Lonchura striata: one gene and its partners. The protein of the gene in region 2 interacts with the protein of the main gene of each other region in a pairwise test. Links are inferred from orthologs where the notes say so. Each region holds a gene or a part of one and is shown on either strand. Other genes may lie near its edges. The genes, in order: MOB3C, FAM118A and WDR4.

The links.
Region 1: the proteins of FAM118A (region 2) and MOB3C interact in binary tests that used the Homo sapiens proteins (3 or more experiments, as listed by UniProt). The link is inferred for Lonchura striata from reciprocal best matches to the Homo sapiens genes FAM118A and MOB3C.
Region 3: the proteins of FAM118A (region 2) and WDR4 interact in binary tests that used the Homo sapiens proteins (3 or more experiments, as listed by UniProt). The two-hybrid records come from large-scale screens. The link is inferred for Lonchura striata from reciprocal best matches to the Homo sapiens genes FAM118A and WDR4.

What each region holds. Positions count from the first base shown.
Region 1 is NC_134611.1:12,503,373-12,511,013, reverse strand, and holds the start of MOB3C (MOB kinase activator 3C), read right to left. Parts: upstream 3,091-7,641; 5' UTR 3,078-3,090; intron 2,873-3,077; 5' UTR 2,785-2,872; intron 2,651-2,784; exon of another isoform or gene 2,467-2,650; 5' UTR 2,416-2,466; intron 1,964-2,415; exon of another isoform or gene 1,957-1,963; 5' UTR 1,799-1,956; intron 1-1,798. UniProt on the Homo sapiens protein: May regulate the activity of kinases.
Region 2 is NC_134607.1:5,729,143-5,736,550, forward strand, and holds the start of FAM118A (protein FAM118A), read right to left. Parts: upstream 3,036-7,408; 5' UTR 3,013-3,035; intron 1,758-3,012; exon of another isoform or gene 1,504-1,757; intron 544-1,503; 5' UTR 535-543; coding exon 488-534; intron 1-487.
Region 3 is NC_134604.1:112,210,605-112,218,443, reverse strand, and holds the start of WDR4 (tRNA (guanine-N(7)-)-methyltransferase non-catalytic subunit WDR4), read right to left. Parts: upstream 3,097-7,839; coding exon 2,975-3,096; intron 1,198-2,974; coding exon 1,135-1,197; intron 362-1,134; coding exon 215-361; intron 1-214. Other genes in the region: NDUFV3 (NADH dehydrogenase [ubiquinone] flavoprotein 3, mitochondrial), read left to right, coding at 3,194-3,244, 3,332-3,398, 6,592-7,545. UniProt on the Homo sapiens protein: Non-catalytic component of the METTL1-WDR4 methyltransferase complex required for the formation of N(7)-methylguanine in a subset of RNA species, such as tRNAs, mRNAs and microRNAs (miRNAs).

The DNA of each region.
Region 1 (7,641 bases), on a different chromosome or scaffold from region 2:
TGGGGGCAAGATCACCAAAGAAAACTTTTGGCTTTGACCCCAAATAAGCTTTAGTTAGAAAACCAGCAGGAAGGATCAGACAGATGCACTGCCAGACTCCAGAGTGATGCTCACAGTCCTGCTCCCTGCATCAGTGTCCCAAATTTTAAAACTGATCTCCCTGCCCGGGCTCCCTTTATGGGCTGCAACAGCAAAGGCTTCAGGGGAAAAGGTGTCTGGGAAGGACTAACAACCATGAAGGATAAGGAGAGAGGAAAGCTCTGGCACCAGCACCTCCCATGCTCCAGTGCCAAGTGCATCTTCCCTGGATCCATCCCGAGACAGAAGCATCTGCCTGGAAACTGCTGCATTAGCAGCACACTCCAAGCCTCGTGGGCAGTGTGACCACTGGGGAGCACAACGAGGGGTACAGCACTGTGGGCAACCTGCAGAGAGACTCCAGCTCCCACTGCTTTGGGAAGAGGCCAAGGAGGCAGAGCACAGACCTGTCCAGCTTCAGGCACATTAGAGCAAAGTGTAGGTTAATTACTACCAGCTCTGCACATCCCCCTTGGGCTTCCCCAGGGAATCTTGCCTTTGGGGCACCCAGATATTTACTGTCTCTGTGTTTTAGGGGATTCCCTTCTCCCCACCACAGGCACTGTCAAAGTCCCACCCAGCCCTATCCCAGATGGAGGAGAAGGACAGCATCAGCTCAGCCCCATGTGCCAGAGCCCTGAGACAGCCAGCCAGCCACCAGATGGACAGTCTGCCCAGAAACCTGCAGGCCCCAGCTGGCTTTTCACTGCACTAGGAAGCCTCACTGCGTGGCTGAGGAGTCAGTAGCCCTGTCTCTGAGCTTCTCTTCAAGCCCCAAATAAGTCCAGATGCAGTTTGGTCTTCAGCCTGTCCTAGAGCATCTCTGCAACCAGGGCTGCTTCTTGGGATTCATGTCCCAAAGACTTCTCCCAGGCAACCCTGAACTGCAGACACTGCAGCCCTGAGCCAGGGAGGGACTGTGGGCAAATGGTGTTTCCAGGGAAGGCAGCATATTCCCTCTTTTTATAAGCCTTTCCAGCCTTGTAATAATCTAAGGAAGGGGGGCTGCAGAAGGAGGGTGCTGGGGAGCAGAGTCTGGGGCACTGGCCCCACTCCCTCTGTGCCTCTTGCTGGAGCCAAGCCCCAGCTGGGCTGTCCGTGAGAAACGGGGTTGTTGGCTGCTCATCCCAAATATAACCTAAACGATAGAAAATTCCAGGAAATGAGCCAAGACAAAATGCTGGGAGGGGGATCAAGAACCAGCACATAGGCTGGGGGAGCTTCAGAGAAGCCCTGGGCTCTCAGCAGAATCTCCCTGCCAAACCTTCCTTGTACAAACTCCCCTGGTGCCGCAGAGACCCTTGAGAGCATCCATGAGCACAAATCCCTGGAGCAGAGCAGGACTCAGGCTCCGACACTCCAGCTGGGGCCAGCTGCCAGCGGGAAGCTGTGCTGGAGCTTCCCCCAACTCACATGGTGCTTGGAAATCCCCAGCTCGTGAGAAATGGACCCAGATGGCTTCCAGGAACGGGACTGCTCACACCCGCCCTACAGATGTCCCCTGCTGTCCCCCTGCTCTGTCCTGCTCCTTGCCCTGCCTCCCTGCCACACCACCAGCACAGCAGCAGCTCTGGCCCAAAGGCAACAAAAAAGGTTTTCCTGTATCACACAAGACACACCCAAGCAGAAAAGCAAAGCAGCATCTCTCCAGGTTAGAGGCAGCATGTCCTTTTCATTTTAGCCATGATATCCAGAGGGGCTGGGGGCTTTTTGGGGGTACCTCATTCCTGGGAGCTGAGACCTCACTGCTACTAGCAGTAACTTGCTGCGAGCCCTGAAGTGTCCAATGGCCTCAGTGGTGTCCAAGAGCTCTGATTCAGTCCCAAGGGTGATTACTCTGTTGTCAGGCCATAATTCCAAACACCGGGTGCTCCAGGCCTGCGAGCTCAAGGAAGAAGGCGAGAGGAGATAAGAAAACCCATCTCCACCGCTTGTTCTCACCCAGTCCCTCCGCCCACAACTTTCCACCTTCCCTCCGACACCGGCGAAGCCGCTGCGGGCGCTGTCCCGTTCGGGAAACGCGTGTGCTGCCTTCCCCTGCCTGTCCCCCTTCCCTGCCCGGAGGGACCCCCTTTCCCTTTCCCTGCGCACCGCCGGTCATTCGCACGGATCCCTACCCCCCGAACAGGGGATCTCTGGTATTTACACACTGGCTGCTGAGCCGGGACGCCCCAGAGGAAGGGGAAGAGCCTTCTGCAGGCGTCCATGGCCCGGCTGGGTGAAGAATTGCTCTTTTCTAGGCTAATGCCAACCCAGGTCTTGCCCGTCCCGCGCTTAAAAGCACCCCAGGAGCATCCTCAGGAGTGCGGTGCTGGCTTTTTACCCCCCAGGACTCACCTCATCCCCCGGCACGGTGGCTTCCAGTCTCAAATCCCTCCTCTGCACTCTCTGCTCTTATTCAGGAAAAAGGAAAAATAAAATTTAAAAGATACAAAGTCCAAGCCAGGCTCTCTGTCGGGACTATTGTCAGTTTGGAGATGGCAGCAGCAAGAGCGGCAGGGAGAACTGCCTCGCTCCAGCGCTCACGGGGGTTTCGTTAGAGAAGCCGGGGCCGAGGGTTTTTCTCCGGTCAGTGATGTCACATCCTGACCCTGCCGGCAGCTCCAGCTGTCCCTGGAAAACCCGCCTGGAAGCGGGCCTGCCAGCCCCCACCATCGGCCGCCGTGGCTCGCAGGCTCCTGGGTGGGCACTCACTCACACCCGCACCCACGCTCCATTCCTGGATGCTGAGATCCTTCTTGGCGTGCAGTCCCGTGCCGCTGGCTGGCTCCGGCTTTCACAGGACAGCGGGGAGCTGGGGAAAGGAGATGAAATCCCGGAGTCTTTTCCCCTCCTCCCCCCATCTTTTCACAGTCCCTCTCCCTTTATCCTTCCCCGCTCTGCACACCCACAAAAACAGCCGGGGGTTTCCATGCCAGGCTAAGCTGGATGCCATCCAAAACAGAAATGCCGGAGAAAGGAAAAGAAAGAGAAAAACTTTCTCTGCCCAGAGCACTTACTTTCCGTTTCTGTCGGAGGTGGGGTGAGTTCTGAAGCGCGCTGCGGTATTTAAATCCTGCTCAGCAAAGGCAAGCCCGAGCCAGCACGCTCGGCGCCGGCAGGAGCGGCCAGCCAGCGTGGGATGGCTTGGCAGGAGCCGGGATGTGCTCTGGGGTCGGAGTCCCGGGTGGGGCTGGAACACCGGCGTGCACCCCACGGGGGATGCCGGCGGGTGTCGCAGCAGGCGGAGGCAGAGCGTGGCCCTGTCACTCACGGTCCCTTCCTGGCTCGGTGACGTGTCGCTCCCAGGGGATGACATGTGTGATGCTCTGGCCTTAGTGAAACGTCTGCAAATTGTTTGGCAGCAGGACAGTTCTAGTGAGGGAAACGTTTCTAGTCTTTCGTACACGCGTGTTAAACCCGGGTCAAGCCAAGCGTTTGCAGGTGATGGGGCGAGCTGGGGAGTGCGGCACAGGGCAAGCAGGATGTGGCTGATGGACACGTTGGCATAAAGCTGGAGGGTTCAGGATGAGGGGCTGAGTCCCTGAACCCTGCCTGGCAGCAGGATGCATCTCTGCAGGATCCAGACTCCTTCCCCCAGAACACAGCTTCTCAGCTGCAGGTGATGCCAGGGTTTGCTTTTAAGGCACAATGTTCAGAGGCAGTCTTTAAAAATAAATTGATCCAGCAGCCTCCCAGACCAGCCAGCTACAAGGGAGTTCAGCCCAGCCCTGCAAGGCATTTACTCTCCTTTCCTCCCTTTCTCTGTGAGGTTGGTTTGGTGCAGGTACAATAGGAACTCTTTGGCACTGTAGGGCCCATTTATTTGGGCAGCAGCCATTGGTGGATCAGTTTTGACTGGAGCTGAAAGGAGTTGGAGCTTGCACACCCGAGAAGCCCCTTGCTTTTCTGCCTGTCCCCACTTGGGACATGGCTGAGGGCCAGGTCCTGAACCAGGTGACAGGAGAAGGACACACCAAGGACATGCAGGATTCTGTGCTCTGCATCCACTACAGCATGAGATGGCTGAGGTGTCTCATATTTGTAGAAAAGGTAAAACCGTGAGGTTAAGTGCCCTGCACAGCTCTTGAGGCAGGAGGGAAGCACAAGCTGTGAAATTCATCTGTCCAGCTGCTTCCCACCACCACTGTCACCAGCTAAGCCAGTACAACAGCCATAACCTCAGAGCTCAGCTCTGTGTGTGCATCCTCCCTGGACCTGCAGGCTGAGCCTTTTCCACACCAGCCTTGTCCTGCTCATGAGTGAATTTCTCACAGCCATTGCAGGTAGCCTCAGGTCCAAGTAACATCCCTAAAATCAGGATCAAGCTCAAGTAATCCAGCAGACTCTTCCTGGTTACCACCAAACCAGCCACATTCCTGACTCCAGCAGGTTCAGGCAAAGTCTTTTCTCATCCCCAGTGCTGGATGCTCATTACAGCCACCCCAAGTCCCAGCAAGGGCTGAGCAATGCTGCTGTCCTCCATCCTGGGGACTTGGGATGCAGGAAACAACAAAATGCCCTGAGACCTTGTGAGCGGGAAGTGGAGGTCTGTGAAGTAGATGTAACTCCCAACAGCAAATGCCAAGCCAGGAGGAAACTTTCAGCTGAAATCACTGCAGAAAATGGGAAGAAATCCAAAAGTAAGGGGGCTTGGCTGAATAGCAAAGATCCCAAAGGCAACTCATAGCCAGGATTTACATCCAGGCAAGATGGAGCCAAAATCCATGCAAGATGGGGTCCTCCCACCCTCAGCAGTCTGGAGCCAAAAGAGAGGGGCCAGGAAAGCAGCAGGAGGGCTGGAGTTACATCAGCTGCAGCCCCACAAGTCCACAGGGGTGAGCAGCACCTCCTGCTCAGGGACTTGCTCCCTCACGTGAGGTTTTGGAAACCTCAAAAAGCCCAGTCCCAGAGCTACCCAGTATCCCAGCTGTGGGGAGGGGAAGCAGGAGTCCCTTGGGAGAGAGGAAAAGGTATGAGGAACAGCTTTGGGGAAGGAGGGATGTGTTATTGTGACGAGGGCATTTGTCTTCCCTGGAGGAAGGAAGAGGGGAATGCTGGCCTCGCTCCTGAAGGCAGGTGCATGGCTGGATTTATCCGGGGAAGGAAGCAGGGCGGAAGCGAGCCCGGAGCACTGGCGGCTCCAGCGGAGCTCAGGGGCAGGCACGGGAAGGGGCCCAGGGCAGTGAAGCAGCTTTGCGAGGCTCGTCAGGACACGGAGGGGGAGCCCCTGCCAGCCCCACCGCTGCGCTGGGCTCTCACACAATGCCCTGCACGGCACCTCATGGGCACTGCCGCTCCAGCAGCTGGGGAGATGCTTGTTCCCAGACTGGGCTGGAAGGCTGTGAATGCCTGTGCAGACCAGAAGACAAAGCAAAGGCAGCAGTGGGTTTGCTCTGGTTATTCCCAGAGAGAAACAGGACGTGTCCAGAAAACAGCTATGCAGCGTTGGGAACAGTCAGTTCCCCTGCTCTGCTCTGCTCCACCATGTCCTGCGCAAACTCAGAGAAAGGGAGTGAGAACAGCCGTGGGTCAGAGGGCACTGGAGTCTTGCCATTTTCTAAGGCACAGGGAAAAAAGCCAGGCACAGATGAAAAAGCACTGGAGTCATCATTTTAAGGGAGGGTAAGAACTTAATCTATCAATCTGCACTTCCTTGATTGCTTTGACTGCCACCTCCTCCCTTGGGAGCCGTACTGACTCTGGCTTTATCTCCCCAGGGTGATGGGGGCAGGTAGGCAAGCCAGAGGTTTGGGATGCTGGTAACAATGAGCCTTTGCCTGCAAAACTTGCACCACCACTCCCAGCAGGAATTCCTGCCACATCCCATCCTGGGCTCTCCTCCAGCTGGAGACAGACCACAGCACTGAGGGGGCTCCTACAGCACCTCGCTGCAGGATGCTGCAGGGGCTGAAGCTTACACGGGGCCACTGGGAGTCTTGGGCTTCTTCGCCCTGAACGTGCCCATTTGACGGCTAGTAAAACCAGCCACATCCATCTTGGGATGGTGCTGGCCCAAAAAAGACTGGCAATCAGCAAAACATGCTGCGAAACTACTGCAGAATGTTTGCCCTCCCGAGGCAGCTCAGGTAGGATCTAGGACATGGGTCTGGTGGAACCGTGAGCTGAACTCAGCGCAGCCCAGCTCGTTATGGACCATACAGAAGCAGCCTGAGCATCTGTATGGTTCTCGGCACACAACTCACAAAGTTTACGAAACTGAGCAGACAGGCCGAAACAAGCTGTGTGTGTGCCCAGAGCTCAGAATCAGGAGACAACCCTTCCCTCTAGTGGCTGGATGGCACATGAATCCCACAGCCACCTTCTCCCTCTGTTACCTCTCTCCCCATGATCAGCACAGATCCTAAGGGCATCAAATCTTACAAATTCTATGTGACTTTTTAGTGGGTTAAAACAGGTGCAGCTGCTGATTTGCACAAAGCCAGACAGCCCCGGGGGTCTGTGTCCACTCTGCAGCTTGTAGTGCCCATCCATGCCCATGGTCAGCCTGTGCCATGGCTGTGCCAGGCAGCACAGCTCATGCACAAATGCATCCCAGGCACTGGAGAAGCCACACATCACCGCTGGTTTCTGCAGCAAGGGTGGCTTGTAGGGCCAGTTCTTCAGCTGGGTTACTCCTCGTTGCAGCAGTCATTCAGTGGGACAGAGGATTAGATTCTGCTGGACCTTTTTATCATCCCAGTTTTAAGCTCGTCACTGGCCATTTCTGCCTTTTTTAAAACCCTGGAGAAGTTCTTATTTTAGGAAAAAAATTACATGATGGGTTTAGGAAAAAAACACCACTCAAAACTACAGGTAGATCACTACAGCCTTATACCTGAGAATTTGATCTTTTATGCTCAGAAAGAGGCTGAGGTGTAGATTTGGAAGCCTTATATTTCACTCTCGGGGATGTTACATTATAGCTAGATTAAAAATGAATGCAGCAACTTTGACTTTTTCAAAGTAGGAAGTGAATTATTAATCAAAACAGCCCTTCTATCAGCTAAGGAAAAATGATAAATGGAGCATGAAGGCCATAAACCAGAAGTAGAAATGCCTTTTAATAAAGGTGATTTGCTGTTCAGATTATCACAGTTCTATGCAAGCCTCCCATGATTCATTATTCACCTGCTCTGCACACACTCAGTGAACAGTAGCCAAAAGACATTACCAGGGACCAAGGACATCTCCTCTCAGCCAGGCCCCAAGAGAAGCTCTGCCTCTTCTAGAAACATCCTCTGCCATTCCTAAATGGACAGGACTTCACACCTAAGAGTTGGTGGTAAAACAGAGCTCAACAAAAAAACTGCACTGTGTAGCTTTAGTGCTCAGCTGAAGTGTTCATGTCATAAAATCAGAGAATGGGCTGGGTTGGAAGGGACTTTCAAAGGTCATGTAATGCAAAGAAGGGGCTGAGAATTACAGCGTGACAGTGGGCATTACAGCAACGGGCTCCTACAACTACACAGCAAAAAGATGCTGTAAGAAACCTTCATAACTCATCACAGCTTCTTATCAGGTTGTGGTTAATGAAGAAAATTGACACCAGCCACACCCTCCTACAGAGAGACAAACTGCAGA
Region 2 (7,408 bases):
ATAAACCATACAGCAAAATCACTCTGTACAAACAAAGATTTCAGTAGTACAGAAACTCAGAACTCCTCTTGACTTACCAAACTACCTTTACAGATTTTCAGTTCCTGGTAACATGGTAATAAAGATGATTAACACATCTTATTTCACAATCATTCCAAACTTTATTTGGATCAAACTATAGTGTTCAACTTGAAATGGCCTCAGGCAAAGCAATAAACATGTAGGTATGGCTGTCAGCTAGTGCCTACAAATAAAATATGTTTGATGGCCCCATGCCTCCCTGGTACATTTAGCCCAAATTGTTTCCTCCTCATAAACAACTTGAGTGAGCATGAAGTACTTGGTCAGGGAAGAAACTAGCTTCTGGGATAATTTCATGTTTTCTGGCATGATGTTGCTCTTGTATTCAATATTCAGTAGTTTATTTCCACTGTGGTGTCAGATTTTCATTAAGAGACAGTTCTGTATCAACTCTAATACAAGTTACCTGAATTTTTGCTCACTTCTAATGGTGGCCCCTTCTGGTGAATCCATCTCTGAGCCCTGAATAAAACAAAAGGCAAAATAATTCTTACTGCTTCTATCCTAGAAAAAGCCAAAACCAAAATCAGATTTATTACTGTTGATTTTTTTTTCTCTTTATTCCTACCAACTGTTGTAATATCAAGGCTCCATGTGTCACTCATCCATGTGTCATTCATCCCAGTGAAGCAAGACAGTGATGGAAACAAACCTGCCAAAGGACAAGTGTGCGAACCCAGCACACTCCAGTTAAGCTTCCAAATGCCATAGGACAGAGGTAATAGAGATGCAGCTGTTCATGCAGCTAAAAAATACTTGTGCCTAAATTCAGGATAAAATTTATCACACTTAAAACTACAAGTCATTTCAAGTCAATTAATGAGTTTCATGGTTTTATTTTTTTCATAAGAATCAATTTATTCAATACAGTTTGTGGAAAACCAGACTTCCACATCCCACCTGCTCACAAAAAGCCTTCTGAGAGCCACCTAGCTACATGACCGGACTGCAGGGTATGAGAGATTTTATTTAAAATACTTGCTGAGAAAAAAATAACTTACTACTGTATCATCTATTATGTCTTATGTCTGAAGTACAAGAAAGACTCTGTCTTGCCAGGAGAACTGGCTTTGGGATCATTACTTAGAAACCCCCAAATTTCGTTACATTTAATTTTTTATGAGGATGCAATTTTTGTTTGGCTTTGAGACAGTTTTTGGTGATGGTGATGGCAAACTGCAGTCCCTAGTCCCTCAAATAAACATTGTGCCAGAGCCTAGGGCTCCTAAGATAGTTGCCAGCTCTCACATTCATGTGCTAGAGGGTAATTTGGAAACAAGCAGTTATAATAAAGAAATAATTCAGCCCTATGAATTGAGTCAGACATCGTAATTTCTTCCCATTGGGTTCGCTTGCATTTACAATACCATTCATGAAAGCTTTATTAATTACACCTCCCCACGTTTAATAAGAACATCTCACCACGGGCTGCTGTCCATACGAACATTTCAGACCTCGCTGCTTCCTTTGAGCTGCTGAAGTCGCTCCTGGAAGGCGCAGCCGGGCAGGGCAGAGGGATCCCCGCTCCTCGCAGAGGAGGATGGAGCTCAGATCTCCCCGTGCTCCGAGCACGGCCAGCAGCTCCGGAGCATCCTCGGGGCTGCCCGCAGCTCTGCTCAGCTGCTTCCCAACAAGGGCTGGCAGCGGGAGCCCGCCGTGACCCAGGGATGCCCGGCGATGGGAGCTGGCTCCTCACTCCCAGCGCAACGAGGGGACACGGCAAAAAACTTCTAATCTCGCATCTGTCCTGCTCAACACACTCCGGTTTTACGGGCGAAATAAGAGCTCTATTCACCGACTGAAACTCCAGGTCAGCGGGCTGACTCGACGAAGCGAGAGCAGGGGAGGAACAGGAGCGGGAGCGGAGCAGGAGCACGGCAGGAACAGAAGAAGGAGCAGGGCAGGAGCAGGGCAGGAGCAGAGCAGGAACAGAAGAAGGAGCAGGAGCAGAGCAGGGCAGGAGCAGAGCAGGAACAGAAGAAGGAGCAGGAGCAGAGCAGGAACAGAAGAAGAAGCAGGAGCAGAGCAGGGCAGGAGCACAGCAGGAACAGAAGAAGGAGCAGGAGCACAGCAGGAACAGAAGAAGGAGCAGGAGCCGGAGCAGGGCAGGAGCCGGAGCAGGAACAGAAGAAGGAGCAGAGGAGGAACAGAAGAAGGAGCAGGGCAGGAGCAGAGCAGGAGCAGAGCAGGAACAGAAGAAGGAGCAGAGCAGGAGCAGGGCAGGAGCAGAGCAGGAACAGAAGAAGGAGCAGGAGCACAGCAGGAACAGAAGAAGGAGCAGGAGCCGGAGCAGGGCAGGAGCCGGAGCAGGAACAGAAGAAGGAGCAGAGCAGGAACAGAAGAAGGAGCAGAGCAGGAACAGAAGAAGGAGCAGGAGCACAGCAGGAACAGAAGAAGGAGCAGGAGCCGGAGCAGGGCAGGAGCCGGAGCAGGACCAGGAGCGGGAGCAGAGCAGGGCAGGAGCCGGAGCAGGACCAGGAGCGCGAGCAGAGCAGGACGGGGAGCCGGAGCCGAGCCGCAGCAGTCACCGGGCGGCACCGCCGCCGCTCCCCGTTCCCCGCCGGCTTCCGGCAGCGACCCGGACGGGCTCCAGGCTCCCGCCGCCGGGAAACAGCCGCCTGGCCGCCGAGGTTCCGGCAGCTCCGAAAGGCAGATTGCGGCCAGAGCCGCTCCTGGCCTGGCCGGTCCGCTCGAAGCCCCGGGAGGGTGCCCGGGTCCCGGCCCGGGAGCGGCGCTGCAAGCCCTGAGGGCAGGAGCGCCCGGCACGGGGCTGGGGCGGCGCTGCGGGAGAAGGCGCCTGGAAACCCGCAGGTTTACCAGGTAGCGCTCTGAAAACGGGCTGGCGATGGACGTGCTGGTGAGGAAAAACATTGCGGCGGGGAAAATGCAAAACAAAACGAGATTTTTGAAAAGCGCGGTCGGCAGCGTTACCTGGGACGGCTCTGCTGAGGGCACGGCGGGGGCGGGCGGGGCAGCGTCAGGCGTGATGCTGTGGGGGTTTTTCTTTTTTCTTTTTTCTTTTTCTTTTTCCTTTTCTTTTTTTTTTTTTTTTGTGTGTGTGATTTTTTGTTTGATTTTTTTGATGTTGTTTTTGGTGTTTTTTGGTGTTTGGTTTTTTTTTTTTTTTTTGGTGTGAAAACCGCATATTTTGCTGTTGGCAAACGTTGCGATGAATGCTTGTGTGTGTAACGTTAGATAGTTGTGCTGTATTAATTCTCTCAAGCGACGTGTTGAATATGTTTTTTTAGGTTATAACATACTGTTAAAGTAGAAACTATGCTATGTAAGATGCTTTTTAACTAGCTCAAGAAAGAGATGAGATAATGAAGAAATTATTCGCACAGAGATAACAGCGACACGAACCCTGAAGATTTATAGCTTCCTTATCAGAAAAAACATTCCTTCACCTTCTCTCCCTCTTTATGGAACCACCAGTTTTAAGGAGCAGGAGTTGACAAAAACCAGAATAAAATTCTTAATTTGCAAGGAATTTATACATCATGTATGAGATATATGAATATGCAACAGGCTATTGCTTTTAAGGGTTATTCCTCTGTTCACAAGGCATGGTTTTGGCAGCTTAGTGTCCAAAAACATCCAGACGTCCATGATGCATTGCTTTTTATTGTCTTGTAATTGTCCTAACTCTAAAATTTTGTTGCTGTAATAGTATCACTATTTTTATAACCATATTATTATTATTAAGCTTTTAAAATTTTAAAAACCAAGTGATTGGTGTTTTTGGTGTTTTTCACACTTGGGTTGGTTTTATTTTTTTTAACTTTTAATATCTTAAAGCCAGAGTGTAAAAAACTTCCAATGTAAAAACTTCCAGGCCCTTCAGCATGGTTTATTCTGGTGTTTAGTTAACAATATTTAGCTCAAGTTGCAGCATTTTTTCCATCAGCAGTCCCACCGCCCTTTGAAGCAGTTTTGAAGATGACACATAAGCACAGTTTTTACTCCATATCCAGTGTTTTGGCAGGAACAGTTGTGTTGACCACTGTGAAATCACTGACCTTCTATCTGTGGAAGAACACTGTGTCCTTGTGAACTGTCTGTGTTATATTCCCTAGACACTGTTTTCGCTTTGTAATTATTCTTGTATTACTATATTGCAGCCTCTATAAAGGCTTAACAAGTATTTGGAGAATTGTACTCCTAGGACAAGGAAGATGGAGGGTAGGAGCAGGGAGAACAGGGAGGGAGAAGGAAGAATACAAGTAGCCTCACCTGGAAACTGAGATGTGATTGAGTTGCAGCATTTCCAGCTCTTTGCCTTTCACCCTTCACTGCTGCCGGTCAGGCAGCAAGGAAATTCAACGTGCTGATATTGAAGGCTCTGTAAACCTCAAGGTCAAAGACACTGTGTTTTAAAAGAACTAGGTGATTTTCTTCTCCCTAAACACAGCAACTATGTGTGAAATCCAGTTTGGAATGCTATTTGACTCTATATTGTACTAATGCTGGAATGTATCACTAAGGAATTTGTTGTGTATCCTAGAATATTTTTTCAGTTGTATACAGGAATTACAAAGACTTGCTAAATATTTGTCTGAGCTTGAGACTCAACTTCTGGCCCGTCCTGTAGGTTTACAATGCCTAATATTCTTCACTTTACATTCATTTAAAAAGACATATAAGAGGAAATTTTTGTGAAGGGAGGCCTTTGAAAGCACTTCCATTTTTCAGTCTGAATCAATTAATCTGGTGTTGTTACCTTTTCCTCTAAGCCTTGCTCCTTTCATATCCTTAAACTGCACTATTATTTTAAAACCCTAGCAAGTGCATTTCATAAGCTCTGGATTCACCTGCAAGGAGTTGGAAAGTTACTAAGGACAAAGAATACCAATATTTTCCAACCATACACAGTACAAAAGTAACTACATAAAGTACAATCAAAAGAGGCTTAGATACTTTTCCAAATGTACAATAAGAAATAACAATGTATTATTGTTCATTAATTTCCATGTTACTATTTTAAAATGTGAGCAATTAAAAATGACAGTGACAGGCCAGCACTATTATAAGTGGCAGAAAGCTCAGGAGCAAAAGTCGCAGTGAAAAAGAATTTTGAAGTGAGTTGAAGCCTGTGAACTTTGAAAAATGAAGGAGTTTATTGCAAGAAGCAACAAAGAAAGGCAATCAAGGATGTCTGAGCGGTAAAACACACAGTTAAAAGAAACAACTACACCAGTTCAACATTTGATTAAACCTCAGATTTATCTCTCATAGTAAATCTGTTTGTCTAAGTGCACTAAACACATCAAGTCAGTTGCTTGTTTGGGGGTTTGTTGCCAGCTTTGGAAATAACACTTGAAAGTCTGTAATCAGGCTAAGAAATGCAGCTGGCTGGTTTTGGCTGCAAGTAGCAATGCATCCACTTATTCAGCTGTGGTTCTATGAACTGAGATGTAGTGTTGATTACATTACATGTTTGACATCTTTGAGAAGTTACAATAAAGTAAATCCAAGACTAATTATGCCAGAACCTGCTGGTTTGAAAGAAACCATGGAAAGCTCATAATGAAAGCTTATCGAGCTTGCTAAAAAGTACCTTTAAGACACCAACTAACATGTGCCTTATTTTTTCCACAGCAGGAATCCACTCTGTCCCTATTGACTGAGATAAAATTTCTTGCACAATGGGACTGCCAGTTCCTTCTTGTTAGGGGATTACTCTTTTCTAACTTGGAGGTGACTGGATTTTACTGGAATAGTTTTACCACAACAAAATTGTAAATTTTATTCCTGGAATAAAATAGTAAATTCTAGGTATTTTTGAATCGTTTATAAAATACTGTGAAGAAGAAAGATGCTTTCAGAAATTCAAAGTATGTTTTCAAAAGCCAGTGTCAGTTCAGTTGGTTTACCCATGATTGAAGTAAAGATTAATTTTCAAAGATAACCTTTGACTTGCATCAGCACTGTGTGTATGCCCTGCAGAGTGACATGATCTGTTAAAATCACTCTGGATGTAACTGCAGGTATATTTTTAAAGCTGCCAAGTGTTAAGGACATCTGCACCAACCAGATCTCCCTACAGTAACCTCTTACATAACAGAGTGCAATTACCATAAAGTTTTGAGTTACTTTGCACCTGCCTTCTTTTAGCAACATTGAAAGTGTGATCATTTCAGTACAGTCACATGCAAAAAAAGCACATATTAAAAGAGTAAATGAGAGGGGAAACAAGCTCCTTAACTGCCCTCTTTCTGACCTTGACTTCAGTTTGAACTTGTTTATAAAGAAGTCTGAATTCATGAGTTTGCTTTGAAAAACTAGGGAGTGTAACTAAGTGGGGTGTCCTTCGATCAGAGTTTGTATTGCACATTTTTCTGACCAAAGAAAAAAACCAAAACAAAACAACAAAGAAGCTCTGTCACAAGGTCCTTATGTGTTCTGAACAGCAGCTATGTGTGCAGCAGTGGGAAAGTAAGGAAAACCACCGTGGAGAGGCAGAACTCCAATGGAAAAAGGGAGCAAAACAAAACAAAAGAGGAAAAAAAAAAAGAGAGAGAGCAAGAAAGAAGGTAAAAGGAAATAAAACATTCTGAAGCCTGGAAGGAATGGATTTAAATCAAACATACTACTGTAAAGAATGGGGAGAGAGAAAGCCAGACAGGAAGTTGCAAATACTCAAATTCTGCTTGAAAAAGTTGTTATTGTTAAAGAACTTAACTAGGTCAGGGAAATGAACTTTGGGAATAATATTGTATGAACTTGCTGATGAACTGGCAAAAAGCTCCTTTTTGTTTGTCAGAAATCAGAAATTTAAAATGTTGGCCAAAATAATTTCATAAATAAAAACTGTATGAAGGAGGAACAAAAGTAGAGGTGTTACTCTGTTCTGTTAGAACAGATCAGCCGTGGTATTAAATAATAAGATGGATTTTCTCCTGCTTGGTGGCTTTTTTGTGGTGCGGTGGCTCCTTCTTCTACCCAGGCATGAACTTTAACAAGCTTAGAGCACAGCTACAGATCAAGAAACTGAGAGCTTATAGGAGAGGGAGCCAGCACATGAGTGCAGAATGCAGTGCAGAGACAGAGGTGAAGATGTTGGAATTCTCTGAAACTGCAGCCCAAGGAAGACCTGAGGACAGGAACCTGTGACCTGCACAGTGATGCTCAGTCACTCTGGCTGTGGCACTCAGTGTGCTGATGGGCACTGTGCAGCTGCAGAATAAAGCTATGGAATGGCCAAGCCTCATCCATTTTCCAGTAAACAAACCTTTGTTTTGCCAAAACACAGTTTGCTAATGTGATCTCTCCTGCAGCTTAAATAGTTCTGCAAACTCCTGATCTGGGGTGTAGTCTTTTGCAATTC
Region 3 (7,839 bases), on a different chromosome or scaffold from region 2:
CACCCCCATTCTCGGTGATGGGAAGGCCACACATCAATCCTTGACAAATACTCTGAATTCCCTAAACACTGAATTTGTTTGAGCGAGGGAATTAAAAAAAAAAAAAAAAAAGAAAGGAAGCTAAGTAGTAACAAATATCAACATCCCAAATACTCCCATTTTAGATCTGTAAATGCAGAAGTCCATAACAGCATGCACCATCCTGCTTCCTTACCTGACACTAACACATTCCCAGGAAGGCTTTGTACGGAACAGAATCAGGCGTTTGTTGTCATCTGTCAAGGCAAAATAACCTCCTGATGGGGAGAAGGCAAAGGCCAGGATGTCATCACTTCCTTTATCTGTCCCTTTTCCATCCTGCCTAATAGAGAGAAGGAACCAACAGTTCACAACCTGATAGCTACTAAATTCCCTCAGGGAGTTGTTCCCAAACCACCCAGGAGCATAAAGAACAAAGTAAACTTTAAACAGTTTTATTTCTGCTTAGAATGTTGAACCAACCCAGACATTAGTGCAAAAAAATAAGCCAAGACAAAGGAAATTGACAGGTCAAAGCCTGTTTAGAAAACAAAAGTTTGTGCTGGCACATCTTGATATAAATTATGAAGTATAAACATATATATGAGGTATAAATATATATAAAAATTATAAGTTATTTCTCTATGAGGAAACCAGTAAAATGTTTCCTGTTTGGCTACAAGTAAAACAATATCCAGTGGTTGAATCTAATCTATGAAAAACACTTTTTTGTGTGTGTGTTTTGAATTCTCATGACTTACAGAACAGATCTGGAGAAGAACTTATTTAAGAACTTTGTGGATATTATTGGTCTTAGATGTCTAACAAAGAATGCAGGACTTTTCCACAAATGTCTTGACTGACAAGAGACAGAATTACTGATTTTGATTTTGCCACTGCTATTTTTTTTTTTTTAGAAAAAAAAGAGAAGAAAGGTGCACAGTGGAATGAAACTCTGGATGAAACAGAAACAAAAACCAGATCCATACATAACCATCAGGGTTAGCAAAACCAACCCTTCACCTGCTCAAGGAGTCATCCTGTGGGTTTTTGGCTGCCTCCACAGCCACACAAGCTCAGAGATGCACCCTCCAGGAAAAGAGCAGATTTTCTCACCCTTTCTCTCCTAAGGGTTGCTTCTCTGCACTGCTGCAATCATACACGAAGAGACTCTCATCACTGCAAGGGAAAAACAAACCTAAAATTACTGCACTAGAACAACCAGCAGCTTTACCTATGGAAAATAGCAACTGTTTAGTAGGATTCTCTTATTTTAGTTATTGGGCACAACTGCCTCCCATCTTGAGAACCACCTCTACCCAAGTGGTCTCCCAGAGTGCTACAGATGTGGCAAAGGCTTAAAATTTTGGACTGTGACATGTCAAAAAGGAAATTCTTCCCTGCTGGTGCAGTAACCCTGTATTTTGCATAAATTTTATTTCTGTCACTCTCAGCAAATCTGTCAGTAGCATTTACCCAGTCACAGAATCACAGGACTGGTGAGATTGGATGGGACTACAGTGGGTCAGCTGGTCCAACCTCCCTGCTTGAGGAGGGTCACCCCAGAGCACACAGCACAGGACTGTGCCCAGACAGTTCTGGAGTATCTCTGGAGAGGGAGACTCCACACCCTCACTGCACAATCTGATCCAGTGCTCAGTCACTGCACAATAAAAAAGTTCTTCCTCATGCTCAGGTGGAACTTCCAGGGCATCAGTTTTGTCCCTTGCCTCTTGTCCACTGCTGGGCACCACGGAGCAGAGCCTGGCCCATGCTCTGACATCTCCCTTCAGACACCACACAGAACTTCAGCATCATTCAGGTTGGAAAAGACCTCTGGAGATCACCCAGTCCAACTCCCTGCCCAGGAAAGCTCCCCTGGAACAGTGACACAGGAACGTGTCCAGATGGCTCTGGAATGTTACCAGAGAGGGAGACTCCACTCCCCCCCTGGCCAGTTGTTCCAGAGCTCTGCCACCTCCATGGAAAGAAATTCTTCCTTGTGTTGAGGTGGAACTTCTTGTGTTTTATTTTATGGCCATTGCTCCTCATCCTGCCACTGGGCAACAGGAGATGCAAAGAGCCTGGCACCATCCATTTGGCAACCACCTTGGAGATATTTATATGCACCTTCCTTATGGACATAAAATAGACCATTATTACATATGTGTGTGTATATATATATGTAGTATACATTCTAGGCATTTATACGTATTTGTATACATATGTATTTATATACATATATATATATATATATATATAAAATAATCTTGTATACACTCTAGGCATTTACAGTTTTATGCATGTTAGACATATACATGTAATACATGTGCTATATACACATTACATATATACATATATATGCTATATATATACCTATGTTTTCCATAAGATATGTATACATATAGACTGTTATAGATATAAAACACATGTATGTATATAACATATATGCATGTATATAGCATATACATAGATATAACATATACATAGATATAACATATACGTATATATGTGTGCTTACATAAATATGGAGTGTATATATATAAAATATATAAAAAATATAAAAAATATATTTAAAAATATATAATATATATAATATACACTATATAAAATATTGTATATATATTATTTATATTTTATATATATAGTGTGCATATATCGATATATATTCTCTATGCTATATATAGCCCAACTGGGGGAGCACAACCGTGACAGAAAACCGGCAAGGCTACAAAGTTGCAAAGTGGCATTTCCGTCCCAGAACACGCGGACACGGCGCTGGGAAAGGCACGAACCTGCGCAGGGCCGGCGGCTCCCTCGCTGCCCCAGCACCTCCCCTCACCCCACACGGGGCCCTGCGAGCCCCCTCAGGAGGCGCCAGGCGGCCTCCGCCGCTCGGGCCCGCCGTGCCGCGCACTGACCCGCAGCGCCCCGGCCCCGCACGCCCCGCACTGACCCGCTGTGGCCCGGCCGCGCCGCCAGCAGCCGCCCCCCGGCGCTCGCCACGGCCGCGGCCCCGCGCAGCGCCAGCGCCGGGCGGGCCCCGGGGCTGCGCCCGCCGCCATCGCCGCCCGCCATGCGCCCGCGCCGCCGCGTGACGTCACCGCGTGGCGTCGCCGCGTGACGTCACCGCCCACCGCCAGCCCGCGGGGGCGCCCTGAGGGCTCCGGGCAAGATGGCGGCGGCCGCGGCGCTGAGGGGCGGCGGGAGGGCGCTGAGCCGCGAGGTAAAGGGGCTCCTCCGGGGGCTTCCTGCTCCCGCACGCCCTCCGCTGTAGGGGTTTCCTCCCGCTGTGTTAACTCTTTTATTGCAGGTGTTGCAGTTGGAGGCGAGGGGGCTCTGCACGAAGCCGGTGGGCACCGGGACGGCGCCGCCAAAGAGTAAGAGGGTGGTTTGGGTGTGAAGGGTGTCGGGGTGTCAGTAAAAGGAATGGGGCAGGGGAGATGGCGAAGAGTCAGGCCTCGCAAGAGGCGCTGCATAAGCTGAGAAAAGCAAGGACTGAAAGGTCATCGCCATGTAAACGAGAGTTTCTGATAAAATGTACCTTGTAGTAATAAAAGTAAAGGTCTGGCTGTGTGCGTTATATTTATAAGTCATATATACACATATATACATACATAGTTTTATATTTATGAACTTGTCACTTCTTTCCTGTGTTCCTTCATGTTAATATTCAAGGCCGGGCTGCATAACTCAGCTGTTCAACCTGTAGGAGGGCGAATGGCTTCAAACTGAAAGAAATTAGGGTTAGATCAGATATCAGGAAAAAATTGTTTACTGCGAGGGTGGTGAGGCCCTGGCACAGATTGCTCAGAGAAGCTGTGGATGTCCCATCCTTGGAAATGTTCTTAATGACGTGCAAAATATAATTCTTAACTTTAGATGTTCACCTTGTCTTTTGAAACGTTTGTGTTATCAGGATTAAAAAATAGAAGGACTGAGATAGAGAAGGACTTCCAAAATCCAAATATCCCAAATAGCAGCTCCAGGCAGCAGTGTAAGAAGCTGCCATGGCCCTGTGTGTTAAATTTGGTAATAATGCTTCTTGCCCCATAGATCTGCAAGCCTGGGTTTGGATGCTGCCCTGCATCCCGCATTGAGGAGTATTTGAACCCCATTTACCCCTGACCAAAGGCAATATAAATTTCAGAGATTGATGTCTTGTTTGTATAAATGGAGGCTTAGTGGTTCAGTGAGGTTTCCTGTCCCAAATTAGAGATCCAGGTGCTGAAACAGGAAAGCTCCATGGAACCATATGTAGGAACCATCAGATTTGTTGACTGCTGTTGAAAAGATCACTGAAAGAGCAGTTGAAGTCAGACTTTTGCCACCTTCTTAAATGCCAAAGCAAATAAAACCTGGCTGAGGAAGCTTTCACTGCATAGATTGATTGAACAGCAAGTTGCTTTTTATTATGATTTATTTTTTTACATTAAGTGTATTTGAGATGCACTTTAGTATCAGTTTCTGGGTTCACTGTCCTGCAGCTCTGATTTGTCTCAGAAGCCCTTTTAGGCCAGCTGCAAACACCCCAGGTTAATTAAGATTTATAGGGTGCAGTGCCTTTGCCAGATTCTGCCTGGAACAGGATGTGCAAATTCTCCTTGCTTTGATAAAGTGGTCGTGTTTACATACAGAGCCAATGATGGGAAATAGGCCTGTAATTTCTGCCTGTCACCTCTCTGAGTGTGATCAGCCTTTAAATACATGCTGGGAATGATGCTGATGTTCCAAGCATCAGGAAGAACACATCTGGGAATGGTGTTTCTTGATTTGGAGGTGGTGTTCTTTTGGCAAAGTGATGCAGGTACAGATTAGCTGGTGCAAAGTTTGAAATACCCTAATTAAAGTGGATCAGTTGTATTGGATGTTTCAGCTTTTAATCATAATATCTATCTTTTTCACTTATCCAAACTTAACTGTTTAAAATATTATTCCAGTAACTAATGGACAAGTTGAATTTTCCCTGCCTTCTTGATTTCTTAGGATGTTTTAACATTAATACTTCTTCAGGTTTTGCTCAGCTTTCCCTTGTCTATGCTCCCTTTGGCCATTCTTGTGTTAGTTTAACCTCTGCTGTGCCTCTCTGAAGAGCTCTTCCATCCTGACACTTCCTCACGTGTTAGTTTCTCCAGGCTGCTGTTTGGCTGGGTCAGTCTGTGCAGGGAGTCAGACCTCTTCCAAAGGTGGCTGCCCATCCTCCTGCCTCCCCCTGCCCTTCCTTCCCATCCTGCACCTTCCATCTGGCAGAGAGAAGTATGTGCTTGAAATTATTCAAAATACTACTTGTGAACTTGATACATTTTTTTTTCATTGTATTTTGTTGTGATAAAAACTCTGTGTTTCTTCCTTAAATACTTTGCTTTTGTTTTCGTGTGCTTGTCTCTTCTGTGATGTTTTCATTTAGACATTGCTAAAGACTTGCTTCTGTTCAGAACTAATGGTAATAACTCCTTAAATCATACAAGGTATTACCATAAAATACCAGTGAGCTGAATTTAGTTTATGGGCATATAAAGTAGATCTGGATTTCCAAACTTTGCAGAAAAATCTGTATAATGGGCTGGAAATCTGTTGAATTTTACTGCTGGTTGGAAGTGATGCAACTTGTAATGGAGTTGGCTTTGATATAGCAAATTTCAGCCATGGTGAATCTTCTTAATGTGCTTCCAGTCCTCCTTGACATCCTGTTTTCTGTAACCACAACAGTATTTGCTGTTGCTCAGCCTCCTGAGGATGATAATAAGCACCCAAGGGATATTATGTATTCCCTGGAAGGACCTGAAAATTGCTGCCTTCTCCTTCAACTGTTGGTTCCTTGTCTGGAGAGTTTAGCTTAATGCAGGTGTCCACGAGGGAGAAGAAACTGAGAAACAAATGTGAAGCATCAGGAGATCTTCTAAGACCTCTTTAACAAAGAGGTCTTGAACAAAATAGGAAGTGAAGCCTGGAGGAGATGAGGTCTTGGGGAAATAGTGTTGAGCTCTGGGGGCACACCTCAGCTAGCAGCTCATGTGGGCAGTGAACAAGTAATAAATACTTGGATGGCCTCAGGTATCTCTTATTCTGCTGCTTTTCCTTTTGGGAGTCATCCCTCCCTTCGCCTTCCAGGATAACTCTTGCAAGCAGCTGTGGCTCTTTACTGTGTCTCTGCTTCTGCTTGTTCACAGACCAGTGTTGACACTGCAGCAGCACTTGAAAAGCTTGGCTGACAAGCCATCCTGATGCTCACCTGAGACAGGAAAGTGTCTGCAGACCTTTTCCAGTGCTGCAGAGTTGAAGCACAGGGAAAACCAGCTCTTGGAGGGGTCTGGCAAAGTGAGGAACATAAGGGTTTATCTCTTGAGTTTCAGCATTGCAGCAGCAAAAACTGTTATGTGCTAGTAGAACTCCAGCTCCTTTTACTTAAAAAGTCTAAAAACTTCCTGCTTTGCAATGCCTGTATTTAGCATTATAATTGCTTTTAGTTTATTTTTGTACCAGATTATCTTAGAAAGTTAAAACTGTTTGACTAAGATCAGTAATAGTGATGTCAGATACAATGATGATAATCCTCTTTATGCCGTTTCCTAGATGTAGTGGCACCACAGGGAAGCACCAAGCTGCTTGCCATGAAGGCACCAGTTGAATTTCGTAAAATGTTGTCTTCTAGCTCTCTCCTGCTGTCTGCAGACAAAGGTGAGAGCATTTCTAGTACCACCCTCAAGGAAGCTGCAAAGCCTGCTGAAGACACAAGGATGCCCATATCAAGAAAAACTGAGGTTGCGTTTCCTCAGCGAGGAGGAGTTGCTTCCTCCCATGAGGAGGAAAAACTCACCACACCTGCAGCAGGAAGAGGCCTGAGGAAAGAGTTAGCTGAGGAACAGACTTCATCCAGCTCAGAGTCAGATTCTAGCTCAGATTCAGAGGATGAAAATGTTGATGATTCACAAGTTGCTGTTAAAACTAAAGTTGAGTTTCCCAGACGAGATGCCATCTTTTCTGAGAACATAGCAGTAAAGGCATCAATGCTGGCAAAAGAGAAATTGTCCCAGAAATCCCTCAAAGAATACGGAATTAAGAAGCTGCCACGCAAACCAGAAATTAATGTGTCTCCTGTGAAGCAGGTCAAATTTTCTAAAACATCAGTCAGCCAGGAAACATCAAAATCCAAAGCAAGAGACCCCAAAGTAAAATCCCCTCCAAAAGAACGGAAGTTGGTGTTAGAACCACATGTGCTGAAAAGTCTGAACCTGACAGAGGTCGCTCGTAAATCTGATCATGTGGAGGAAAAGTCCATTGGAACCCAGGTAGCAGCTATTCAGCTGAAAGCCTCAGCAGTGACTCAGGAAGATAAAAAGCAAGATCTGCTATCCAGAGGAGCGAAGGAAAAGATGAAGGAGGCACAAGAGTTGGAAGCAAAACAAGTAACTTCTCCTAAAGTGGAAGAGATTTCTGGAAGCACAGTGTTGGCGATGGGCACCACAGCAAGGGAGGAGACCATGCAGGAATCAGAAGTCCAGGCTGGAGAAAGCAGCACAATTGAGGGTACAGCTTTAAATTGTTTGAACAGTATTAATTCATCTGGGCTAGGGTTTGACATTTTTAAAGGGTTTCCACATCTTCTCTGATCTTTGTACTGAAGCTGGCAGAGTGGCAGTGACTTTCTGGAAGATAAATTGTTCGTTGCTAATTGTTATAATCTGTCAGTAATACTCAATCTCCAGCTATGCTATGAAAGGAAGTGGTTTCATTTCTCTGTATTTATAGTTTCATAAAACAGTTACTTATAAAATGGAAACAAGATTGTTTCCACTGTGAGCAAAATCATGAGTTTTATAT